3 linked regions of the Nothobranchius furzeri genome follow. The protein of the gene in region 3 interacts with the protein of the main gene of each other region in a pairwise test. Links are inferred from orthologs where the notes say so. Each region holds a gene or a part of one and is shown on either strand. Other genes may lie near its edges. The genes, in order: itsn1, ddx17 and wbp11.

Evidence for each region.
Region 1: the proteins of wbp11 (region 3) and itsn1 interact in a two-hybrid assay, tested with the Homo sapiens proteins (2 studies listed by BioGRID and IntAct). The link is inferred for Nothobranchius furzeri from reciprocal best matches to the Homo sapiens genes WBP11 and ITSN1.
Region 2: the proteins of wbp11 (region 3) and ddx17 interact in a two-hybrid assay, tested with the Homo sapiens proteins (3 studies listed by BioGRID and IntAct). The link is inferred for Nothobranchius furzeri from reciprocal best matches to the Homo sapiens genes WBP11 and DDX17.

What each region holds. Positions count from the first base shown.
Region 1 is NC_091752.1:40,915,258-40,918,907, reverse strand, and holds part of itsn1 (intersectin-1), read left to right. Parts: intron 1-228; coding exon 229-330; intron 331-417; coding exon 418-499; intron 500-571; coding exon 572-670; intron 671-744; coding exon 745-828; intron 829-980; coding exon 981-1,064; intron 1,065-1,152; coding exon 1,153-1,284; intron 1,285-2,141; coding exon 2,142-2,222; intron 2,223-2,513; coding exon 2,514-2,635; intron 2,636-2,816; coding exon 2,817-2,899; intron 2,900-2,978; coding exon 2,979-3,062; intron 3,063-3,650. UniProt on the Homo sapiens protein: Adapter protein that provides a link between the endocytic membrane traffic and the actin assembly machinery. Acts as a guanine nucleotide exchange factor (GEF) for CDC42, and thereby stimulates actin nucleation mediated by WASL and the ARP2/3 complex.
Region 2 is NC_091746.1:24,951,196-24,955,497, reverse strand, and holds the start of ddx17 (probable ATP-dependent RNA helicase DDX17), read right to left. Parts: upstream 2,829-4,302; 5' UTR 2,629-2,828; coding exon 2,576-2,628; intron 952-2,575; coding exon 789-951; intron 701-788; coding exon 604-700; intron 464-603; coding exon 330-463; intron 247-329; coding exon 181-246; intron 79-180; coding exon 1-78. Other genes in the region: ntan1 (protein N-terminal asparagine amidohydrolase), read left to right, coding at 3,310-3,390, 3,938-4,040. UniProt on the Homo sapiens protein: As an RNA helicase, unwinds RNA and alters RNA structures through ATP binding and hydrolysis.
Region 3 is NC_091752.1:67,492,814-67,496,074, reverse strand, and holds part of wbp11 (WW domain-binding protein 11), read left to right. Parts: coding exon 1-69; intron 70-1,533; coding exon 1,534-1,767; intron 1,768-1,860; coding exon 1,861-1,980; intron 1,981-2,054; coding exon 2,055-2,342; intron 2,343-2,411; coding exon 2,412-2,597; intron 2,598-3,261. UniProt on the Homo sapiens protein: Activates pre-mRNA splicing. May inhibit PP1 phosphatase activity.

The sequences.
Region 1 (3,650 bases), about 27 Mb from region 3:
TCTTGCCCAAGGACACAACAGCAGAATTCTCTGGTAGGAGCCAAGATCAAACCTGCAACCTTGCAATTACTGGACAACCCGCTCAACCTCCTGAGCTACTGCTGAAAAAAAAGCAAAAAATCTAATTATGTTTTAAAATGGTTCAGCCCTGAAGTTCCCTAGCGTTCAGACAGGAACCTTCCTGCACCATCGTGCTGCTTCCGACCTCTGTTCATCGTTTCCCTGCAGGGCTCTTCGGGTGAGGAAGAAGATGTCCGGTGATCGGATGCCTGTGAAGATGATAGGTGACATCCTGACCAACCAGCTTCCCCACATGCAGCCATACATCAGGTTCTGTCCGTCCTCTGCTGTCACTACATTACTTGTAAAAACCTGAATGATAATTTGTGAGAGTGATCTCATTTTTTTTGGGTTAAGATTCTGTTCGTGTCAGCTGAACGGAGCCACGCTGATCCAGCAGAAAACCGACGACAACCCTGAGATCAAAGACTTCCTGAAGGTAACCTGCCTCGAGAACAGTGGTCATATCCTCCCTCAGCAATTTGTTTCTGATGCTTCGTGTTTACACCAGAGGTTGGCCATGGATCCCAGGTGCAAGGGGATGCCTCTGTCTAGTTTCCTCCTCAAACCCATGCAAAGAGTCACACGCTACCCTCTCATCATCAAAAACGTATGAACCACACACACACACCTCTAGTCAGTCTGAGCAGCCAAGGTGTCTGACGGCTCTTTGTGCTTTCACAGATCTTGGAAAACACTCCAGAGTCTCACCCAGATCACAGCCACCTGAAAGCTGCTCTGGAGAAAGCTGAGGAGCTCTGCTCACAGGTAGACCTCTCGAACTGTACATTTAGGCCGGGTTACCTCCTGATTTGATCACATCTGGACCTTTTCGTGCTCTGCTATGACGGAGGGATGGATGTTCCATGTTTGAAACCCTGTCTGATGTGTTTGTTAAGCGTATGCTTCTGTGTTTTTAGGTGAATGAAGGCGTCAGAGAAAAGGAGAACTCTGATCGTCTGGAGTGGATTCAGGCTCATGTGCAGTGTGAGGGACTCTCAGAGGTAAAATTGTTTACTTGCTAGCTCAGTGGTTTGACTTTTTCATTAATTGAATAAAAATAATAAGATAAATTTTCTCCACGTCTTTTAGCAACTGGTGTTTAACTCGGTCACCAACTGTCTGGGACCCAGGAAGTTCCTCCACAGTGGGAAACTGTTCAAAGCAAAAAGCAGCAAGGAGCTTTATGGCTTCCTGTTCAACGACTTCCTGCTACTGACACAGGTGAGTCTGAGTGCCGTTAGCTGGCCTTCCATTTAAACACATCCTCTGTTCAATGGCATTTTCAGAAATTGGAGAAAAAAGGATGTCCTTTTAAAGCAGAAACCCAATGTTTTTTGTCAGAAGAAACCATCAAGAGGCAGAAAAGTGGATTGCTAGGGAACCAGGCAGGAAACTCCGGATTCCTGCCTTAACAGCTGCAGTGAAATGTTGGGTTTCAAAAAGTGCATTTTGTCAGATATTTCTAAGGTTACTGAAGTATAATTACAAGATTAGTTTGTTTCAAAAGCTTTTATTGAGTTGCGTGATGTAAAGGGTCCTAATTTGCTGTAACAGCTTTGCAGTTCACCCTGTCATGTTGTCCTCTGGTCCAAATCCTAACTGATGTTTAGTTTGTTGCCTGCTTCTTGAGGATTGACCCCACACATTCTCAATGGGATTAAGGTCTGGGGAGTTTACTGAACCTGGATCCAGAACTTGTTCCTTCTGGCCCAGTGCTCCATCATGCTAGAGAAGACTTTATTCATCACCAAACCATGCTCTGTTGGTTGGAGGAGTTCCTCTGGGATGATGTTTTGGTACCATTTTTGTTCATGGCTGTGTTCTGTGAGCTAAACTGTGACTGAGTCCACTCCCTGAGAAGTGCTGGATCCACTTTAGGAGACTGTTCTGATTGCTGTACAGAGAAACTTTGCCTGGAGCTACTGGTGTTGTGTCAAAATGTGTTCTCCCTTCAAACACCAGCCCACTTGGTGACGTCTGCACCTGAACAACAGAGCATTTGGTTGTCTTGTTTCTAATCCTGCCTCATCAAATACTGGATTAACACTTGTTTTGAAGATGAAACCGTCTTATTTCAGGTCACCAAACCTCTGGGGTCATCAGGATCAGACAAAGTCTTCTCCTCAAAAACACACCTGCAGTATCGCATGTACAAAACGGTGAGATGGTTCACAAACACCCTCCTGCACTCACCTTTTTTTGCATTAGAAAACAAAGTTTTGTCTTTTTTCTTCATTATTCTGTGATTCATTTAAAATTTGACTCCAGCTATAACTGATCTTTGTTTTAACTTTAATATTTTACAATCAAGTCTATTTTATATCTTTTCTTTGACTTTTTGAAGCCTGAAACAACACAGTGAATCATTATGTTTGTTATGAAATTGATCACTAAATGAATCTACTGTGAGAGAAGGTCCTTTTTACCTGATACTTCTTGCTTTTTTTCAGCCAATCTTCCTGAATGAAGTGTTAGTGAAACTGCCAACGGACCCTTCAGGAGACGAGCCTCTGTTCCACATCTCTCACATAGACCGGGTTTACACCCTCAGAGCCGAAAGCATCAATGAAAGGTAAAGATAAACGCGGCTGGTCCAAACCCGCCTGGAGTCTCTGAATCAGAAAAAACACACTCTTGGAGACTTTGTGTAAGCAGACTGATTCTGATCCTTAAAAACCAACTTAAGTCGTTTTGTTCATGAAAACAGCTGATGAAAGTTTTTTATAAATGTGAGAGTCGGTGTGTTTGTGCAGGACGGCGTGGGTTCAGAAGATCAAGGCAGCTTCAGAGCTCTTCATTGAGACGGAGAAGAAGAAGAGGGAGAAGGCGTATTTAGGTAGTTGTCCTTCACATCAACAGACTATTTTCATCATCTCTAGAGTGAAAGCTGACTTGTCTGCTTTTCTCTGTCCCAGTGCGTTCTCAGAGGGCGACGGGTATCGGTCGACTGATGGTCAACATCGTAGAGGGGATCGAGCTCAAACCCTGCCGCTCTCACGGTACGTAAACTCTACTTCTATTGAAACTAATCATTAGCAAGGATGCACCAACGCAAATACTTGGACAGACACTAATGCTGCAGTTATGGCAGCTAACTGATATTTACTGATGTTTTCTATATTTTCCCACACTTTCCAGGCTGTGTAAAAGTGACCACAACACTTACATTGCTCTTCTGCTTTGGTTGAACACACCACTCCTGTGCTGCATCACTGTCTCTGTCATTTCCAGTCAGATACCACATAACCCCCCCCCCCCCCCCCCCCCCCCAAAAAAAAACCAAAAGGGATCCACAAGCAGCAACAAGATGGAAATAAACATGGGTCGTTTATTTCAATAAGCCCAGTTTTACTTATCAACAGTGATAGGAATAACGCCATTTAAAATAACCGCATTGCTAAAAAAAAATTTCTTTCAGTAACGAGCAAACTAATTAATTACCGTCTTCTTTTATCAAAACGTCGTTTCTGTTACTGATCAGAAAATGCGTGAGTTAAGCAGCGTGGTGTGTTGAAGCTGTCATCAGCTGATCAGGAGCTACAGAGGTAGATGTTTTCATCCAAGCGCATCACGGCCCGTGAAGAACG
Region 2 (4,302 bases), on a different chromosome or scaffold from region 3:
GCGGGATGACTTGCCGTAGTCGAAAGCGACCTGCTGAACCTGCTGGGCCAGCTCTCTAGTTGGAGCGAGGACCAGACACTGTAGGGATACAGAATGATGACCAGCTAGCTTTGTGTGCACACAAGCATTAAGATTTAGATGCAAATCTCCAGTCTGAGGTTGTGTCACGTTTGTACTCACTATAGGACCATCCCCCCTTTCCAGATAGGGCTGGTGATTAATGTGAACAATAGCTGGAAGAAGGTACTGCAAGGAACAAAAAAACAATCATGTTAAACTGTCATTGCCCATTTGTTAATGATGATAGGCTTTCAGGGATGAATTCTTACAGCCAGTGTCTTTCCAGAGCCCGTCTGAGCGATTCCCACCATGTCCTTGCCGCTCAAGGCCACAGGGAAACCCTGGGACTGGATCGCTGTGGGCTCCTTGAAGTTCTGATGCATCAGAACATCCATCACATACTCTATAGGGCAAAAGCAGGAGATTATCAGCATCAATTGAAGGTATTAACATGTTAAGCCCTTAGATGTTTTACAGAAAATTCATTGTTGATGAATTTGTTAAATATTATTTGTGTGTGCAGTATTAGGTGTGTTCCCTCACGAGGAAAATGTGCCTGGTGGAAAGCAGTTAAAGGCTTTGGGCAGCCTGAGCCTCTGACGGTGACCTCCTTCTTCCTGCGAATCTCTTCAATGTCATACTGGGATAAAGCAACAAGAAATAGAAGAAGAGACATGAAATGTGTTGTGTTCTTCTGAAACAACTGTATGCAAGAAGAAGAAACATACCTGACTCATTCGTTGGACCTCTGGGTGTTCGTTGTAGAAGTTCTTTTCAAACTTTGGCAGCTCATCCAGGTTCCATCTTTTCTTGCGAAGACGCTCACCGGGGTTACCAAACTTCATGGGTGGTGGTCCGTTGCGGCCACCCATGCCCCCTCCAAACCTTGGCCTGAGATGTTTCAAGAGGTAAAAGAAGAATCAGAGGAATTAGTACGAGGAGCAGGTTGACGGATGTCAACGCCACACTTGGGCTTCACCTGTGGTTTTTATCTTTATCTGCACCTGTAATGCTACTACTAATAATAATAATAACAAGCTTTATTTGAAGCATCGTTCTAAAACTCGAGGTCATTGTACAGTAAAAGGAAATAAAACACTCAAACAAGCACAAAAACAATACATGAGTAGTAAATATAAAACCATGATAAAACACATGATATAGTTGTATACAGTATATAATAGTGACATAGTTTGAAAGTTTTGATTAAATGACTGAATTTAAAATGTTTTTTTTTTTTTTTTTACAAAATCTAGTACAAAAAAATACAGAATAACAAATGATAAACCTTATTAGCATTATCCGCGGTAATATCCAGTAACCGTACACAATTTCTCAAAACATTCATCCTGTTTAACCCCAACACCCTCCAACCGGGGGCCTCTACAGTTTCATGTCCCAATCATCTACTACTGTCCACATACTCCAAACTAAAACCACAATCAAACAGCCCAGGTGGGAAAAAAGGCCATTTTAAATTGTAATAAATTAAGATACAATGATGTTTGAACTTTACTTTAGAAGAGCATCTGACCTTCTCTGGTGTCTGCTGGAAAAAAAAAACCTTGAACAAATGTAGTTGAGGACCCCTGGAATAAATACAACAATTGACTAAATTTCCTAAATGGAATTTGAACTCACAACCTCCATCCTGTCAGCACGTTTACACAGGGCAGCTCTTCTAAAATAAAGTTCAAGTATCATTTTATCTTAATGTATCAGAAACCAAAAATTGCTTTGTTTACTATCTAAACTATTTTGATTGTAGCTGTAGCTGTGCTCGGGGAATGCAAACAATCACTCACACTTGGGACATGAAACGCCAAAGGCCCCCATTGTTTGGGAGGCGCCAGGGCCCAAAGAAAAAAGGCCTAGGGCCTAAAGGGTTATTGGAAAAGATTCTCCAGCAGCGGTGATTTAGTCACAGGCTATGTGACCACTAGATGGCGCCAGATACAAAGAATGTCTTTCTAAACTGGTTGTTTTTCAACACCACTGAGCAATATGGGTCAGAGTTCAGAGTGAACCCTGTGTGTGTGTGTGTGTGTGTGTGTGTGTGTGTGTGTGTTTTCTGCCTGTGGAAAAATATATTTTTCCATATTTTGAGAACTTGAGTTTAGTTTAAAATCTACAGATTTGAGAGTTTATTTCCTGGTTTATTGAACACAATTTTTCAGAAACACATCTGCTTATTAAAAGCAACAAATCCGTAAACAAAGTCCAGAGGGCCTCAGTCCCAACCATGGTCCAACATCTATCTATTCACTGAGCTGCCGAGCTCCAACTTCTTCACATTTCACCGATGCCGTTGTTTAGTGGTTTTACAACGACTCGAGAGTAGGAAAACAAACCTCGTCATTGGTGAGACAGAGGAGTCAAATGAATTGAAAACAGTCTTTAGGCCCCTTTGGCGCCTTCGTGTTTAGTTTCGGGAATTTTCTCATTCTCAGTTGATCATATGATTTCACGGCAAATAGATCAAGCGTTTTGAAAATCACCAACAACAATAACTAACCTGTCTCGTCCACGGTCTCTGTCCCTGTCTCCATAAGATGAACCCCCTCTCATGTCGGCAACGCAAATATTCTTACCCGTAGTATTTTTCGCGTTAGCTGGAGTCGATTTGTTGACGTTGCGTTCAGAATTAAAGAAATGCAAATTAGATAAAGACACAAAAATTAAATCCTAGTGAACTATAATACACGAATTAGGCAATAACAACGCTACAATAACATTGTGACCAACAACAGCTATATGCGTCACGAACTAACCTAGCTTGTTTTTCTCAAACCCGATGACGTTGTTCCTGCTAGTACGTTAACGTAGCGTCGTGAGTGGTGCCGTCTCTAAAAAAGCCTTAGCACTTACGTAACCTGACTAAAAGCAATGGTGAATGCAATTAGAACAAAAAAATGGTGTCGTCGAAAACGAGAGCTTGTTTAACAACTAAAACGTAGAAAAATGTGTATTGCAACCTATAAATGAAAAAAAGCTAAACTGGACAATAGTGCGTTTAAAACATCTTTATCTGGTTCTAGTAAACAAGAAAATAAAAGGTCTGTATATCAACCAGAAGGGGGCGACATTGCACCGAGTCGTCCATGCGTTTCACGAGGAAACGAAGAAGACAACAGCTGCAGGAAGTTCAAGTCGAGATGAGACAGACAGGCGTTTGGACGTGACGTTTTTAAGTTATTGACATTTTTAAAGCATGAACTAGCTGATTATCAAGTGACGCTCGTTAAAGAAATGCCTTTGTTCATTCAGGGTAGAGAACTTGGCCGCATAAGGTCGACAGAGGAGTTGTTCAGCAAATATCCACATTTACAGGTTAGTGTGGCTATTAGCTGTTCAATAATTTTAGCAAGTAAACACTGACTTCGTCGGTTAACGCTGTTTAAGTCTTTTATATTAGACTGTACTCTTCTGAATGTCACACCATCAAGTTTTTTGCATTTGAAAGAAATCGCTGTTTTGCCTAATCATAAGAAACACGTTTTAATTAGTTTTAAATAGTACAAGTCACTAGCAAAACAATGATGCAAGCTAATAACAATGATTTCCTCTTTGTATTCAGGTAGAAAGAAGTACAAAAGTACTAAAACACTAAATATAGCCTGCCCTTTTTTCCCTTGTAAGGTCTGACTCTTCTGTTGTTCTAACCACTTTCCTCTGTTCCTCATAAGTACACAACTCACCATATCAGGTACAAGGACTGGGTAGGAAATTATAATGGGAAACACCCAAAGCCTAAAGAACTGCTTGTCAAACCCACGTCTAGAATCTCTGGGGTCAAATAAGACTGGTCAAAAACTTTTACCTGTCAGGTATGAGGCACTTAAGTTGTTGTAACGCATGATGTGTTCTTATGTTACAGGAACATGCTAGAACCTTTCGCTCCAGGCCTCTGGTTGAAGTGGACCCAAAGTGCCTCCTGTATGTTCAGCAAAGAGAGTTTGCAACAACAACTCCAGCAGACGGTAAATACAAACCTATCACAGAACGCATCAATCTGTTTGGTTACAAACTTTATGACACAATTATTTGATTTGTCTACTCAGGTGTTTCAGGTAGATATCTTTATCTATTTTTCCTGGATCTGAATGCTCATGCATTAGTCATCAAATTGTAATACAGACGATTTGGGGCAGCAGTAGCTCAGGAGGCGGGTTGCCCAGTGATCAGAGGGTGGTGGGATAGATCCCAACCCCTGTTAGAGTATTCGATTGTGGGCAATAGAAT
Region 3 (3,261 bases):
GGCCCCCACCTCCACAGGTCCTGGCGCTGTATGGCATTCCTTCTCGACGATCTTACGGCTCTGACGCAGGTAGCCCGCTGACAGATGCTAGCATGGGTTAGGTTGGTGCGGAGATCAGGGCGACGCTTCCCACTCCCCTCCCTGTCATTTTGACCAGTGATACAAGCAGGTCGGCTGTTTTATACTAGGGTTCGAGCCACGGCTGCCAGAAAGAGGACGTAATGTTTTTTAGATTTTTATTGAGGAAATATTTTGGGAACGGACATTTAAAGAAAGCTGCAGACTTGGTTATCCATGGTAGAATAAACGGCTTCCTCCAGGTCACGAATCGGCTAAGTGACTAGTAAATATCAGAAGAAGAAGAAAATATCATTTCTATAGCGCCTCTCAAGATAAAAATCACGAGGCGCTTCACAAAAACAAAAAATGTAAAAATATAAAAAAGCATGGCATTACAGCAAAAAATTGCTGGAATGCTATGTTGTCAACAACGGTAATTTCTACTTCTACTATGGTGTAGTGTTGGATGCATGCCGTAGAGCATTTTTTAACAGCGTCCTCGTCTTTTCCGACAGTGCGAGCTATTTCTCTCCAAGAATTATTAACAACATGTTGATCACGGTGATCTCTGAGAGCTGAATCATACAAATGTCTGTATTTACGAACCTCTGCCGTACTAGTTCTTGCCGGTCCGCCATGTTTTTCCGTGTCCGACCGTCCGCGTGGTTAGAAAATGTCCTAGGTGCGCGTTGAGGAAATTTTGGGCCGTGCGGAGGCGCGGTGGAGGGGCGTGGTTTTTAAAATGACGCAACTTTTTCGCGCGGAGCCGTGCGGACCTCGCGGACGCGTCAAGCATAAACGAACCTTGCTTGTCTGAGCTAACGTGTGCCGTCAGAAACATTCAAACCATTTTTAAAAGAGAAGTTCAGCTTTCAAGTCAACTAAAGTGCGCGACTCTGCGCTCGTGCTGATGAAGCATAAACCAAGCTTTAGAAATCTGCCTGAACCTGCTGATGTGGGAGGAGTTTCTCTCTCCCTTACTCAACTATGTTCTCTCTCTCTCTCTCTCTCTGTCCCGGGCCCACCCACGGTGCATTATTATCGGCTCTAGCAGCGCTGTGTGTGGGAACATGAAACAGGGAAAATAACCTGAACATGCAGCTCTGGCAGCTGTGGAGCTGGGCTCGGCTCTGGGCGGTACACCCCACCCCCCTCCCCCTCGCTGGCTTTTGCCGCCGCCACGCCATAACACAGGGGGAAACCCCCGGATGTAAAAAAAAGTTACACAACTGATCCTGGATCAGTCGAAACCGCTAAAACCACAGCTTTGACGTTCACGTGATCGTGCTGTTTGAAATCGCGATTTTGGTCCAAAAACGATAGTTCAGCCCTATTCTGCTCAATAAGCCTGTTTATTGTAGAGCTGTTACTAGATATCTCAGATTAAATTGGGATTAAACCCTAATTTTCATGACTTGATGAAAAATCTGAAAGCGAGGAGTATTTTTGTGCTTTTGTTTAATCCGTCATCAGATCTCTCCATTCCTGGCTTGGAGAAGGAATCTGCCCTGGACTTGGGCCGGGATCAGTACAGCGGCAGCGAGAGCGACAGAGATCGGGACGATCTGGATGACAACAGTGACTCTGATGAAGACAGCGAAGAGGACAGGGACGAGGAGGGAGACGGCGAGCAGCGAGGGCGTGCGGAGCGGCGGGCTGATGGCGGGGAACGGGAGGAGGACAGAGACAGAAGTGAAAGACATGCCGGTCAGTGCTGCAGTGTGTTTGAGCTCCTGAGTGTAATCCTAATGGCTTCGGGTCCCTCGTGAACGTGTCGTTCGGGTCTCTGACTTGCTGCAGGACGCAGCGTACGCTTCGCAGATCTGCCAGGAGATGATTCCCATGATGGGAAGAAGAAGAGAGGGGCGAAGAAGACCAAGGCCATTACGCCTCTGCAGGCCATGATGTTGAGGATGGCAGGTACGGTCATGTGATCACGTTCCGCCTCACGTCCTGTTCAGAACTAGGGTGCATGACAAGTCTGTCGTCCTCAGGTCAGTCGGTTCCCGACGAGGAAGAAGAGGAGGAGGAGGGAGAGGAGGAGTTCACAGATGAGTCGGACGCGTCTGACACCGAGGACCGGGCTCCACCGGCAGACGGCCAGTCCCAAGTCGTGGCCAGTCAGCGCCTCCCCCCTCCTGTTGGGGCCGTGGGTCAGCAGGGACCCCCTCCACCTTTACAAGGCCCACCGATGACTGGTCCTCCTCCACTGGGCCCACCACCAGCTCCTCCAATGAGACCTCCCGGTCCCCCGTCCGGCCCACCTCCTGGCCCCCCACCAGGTTAGCTTCATTCAGAAGAGATGACTGTTTTGGTGGCGGGACGCGTTTCTTATTTTCTCTTCTGTTTAGGCGCTCCTCCGTTTTTGAGGCCACCTGGTATGCCCGGAGGAATTAGGGGCCCGATGCCTCGTCTTCTGCCCCCTGGTCCTCCACCAGGTCGACCCCCTGGTCCTCCGCCAGGCCCTCCTCCCGGTCTTCCACCAGGTCCTCCACCCCGCGGACCCCCACCCAGACTACCACCCCCGGCACCACCAGGTAGGTGTATAAAGCTACAAGGAGGTACTGCGTAGTTTAATGGATGTGACTGCACACACCTCAGTGGTCAGCGGTTCCATCAGGACAGGTCTTCTCGTTGCCGGGTTGTCCTCTGTGACTTTTCCAGGTGTTGCATTCAGCTCCGTTTCCAACCAGACGACTCTGTTTCAGGGTAAAGCTCACGAGCCCATGCTTGAAAACTGCTCACCACGCACTCTGTAGCGACACGACAGACCTTCGGACCCGTAAACCCGGGAGCGAGGTGAACGTCGTGCTGCTACCGGCGTCTGTTGTCCCTCAGGCTTGCCGTAGTTAGAGGAGGACGCGCTGGGGTTCATGGGGTTGGAGGTAGAGGAAGGAATGACATTCAGGAAGTAACCCGAGGTTTGGGGATCCAGGCAAAAATGCTTAGAGACACTGTGTGTGTGTGTGTGTGTGTGTGTGTGTGTGTGTGTGTGTGTGTGTGTGTGTGTGTGTGTGTGTGTGTGTGTGTGTAGACACGGAAGTGGCTGGGCAGCCGTGGTGCTGCTCAACAGTGTCCCTCACCAGCAGAATTTCACACGTTTGATTTTCCTGCCACCGCGTGATTGCCAGTCGGGGGCTGGTCGCGAGGCGTTGGTCGCTTTGGTGACCCCGGTATACGACACAAAGCTCAACGCAGAGC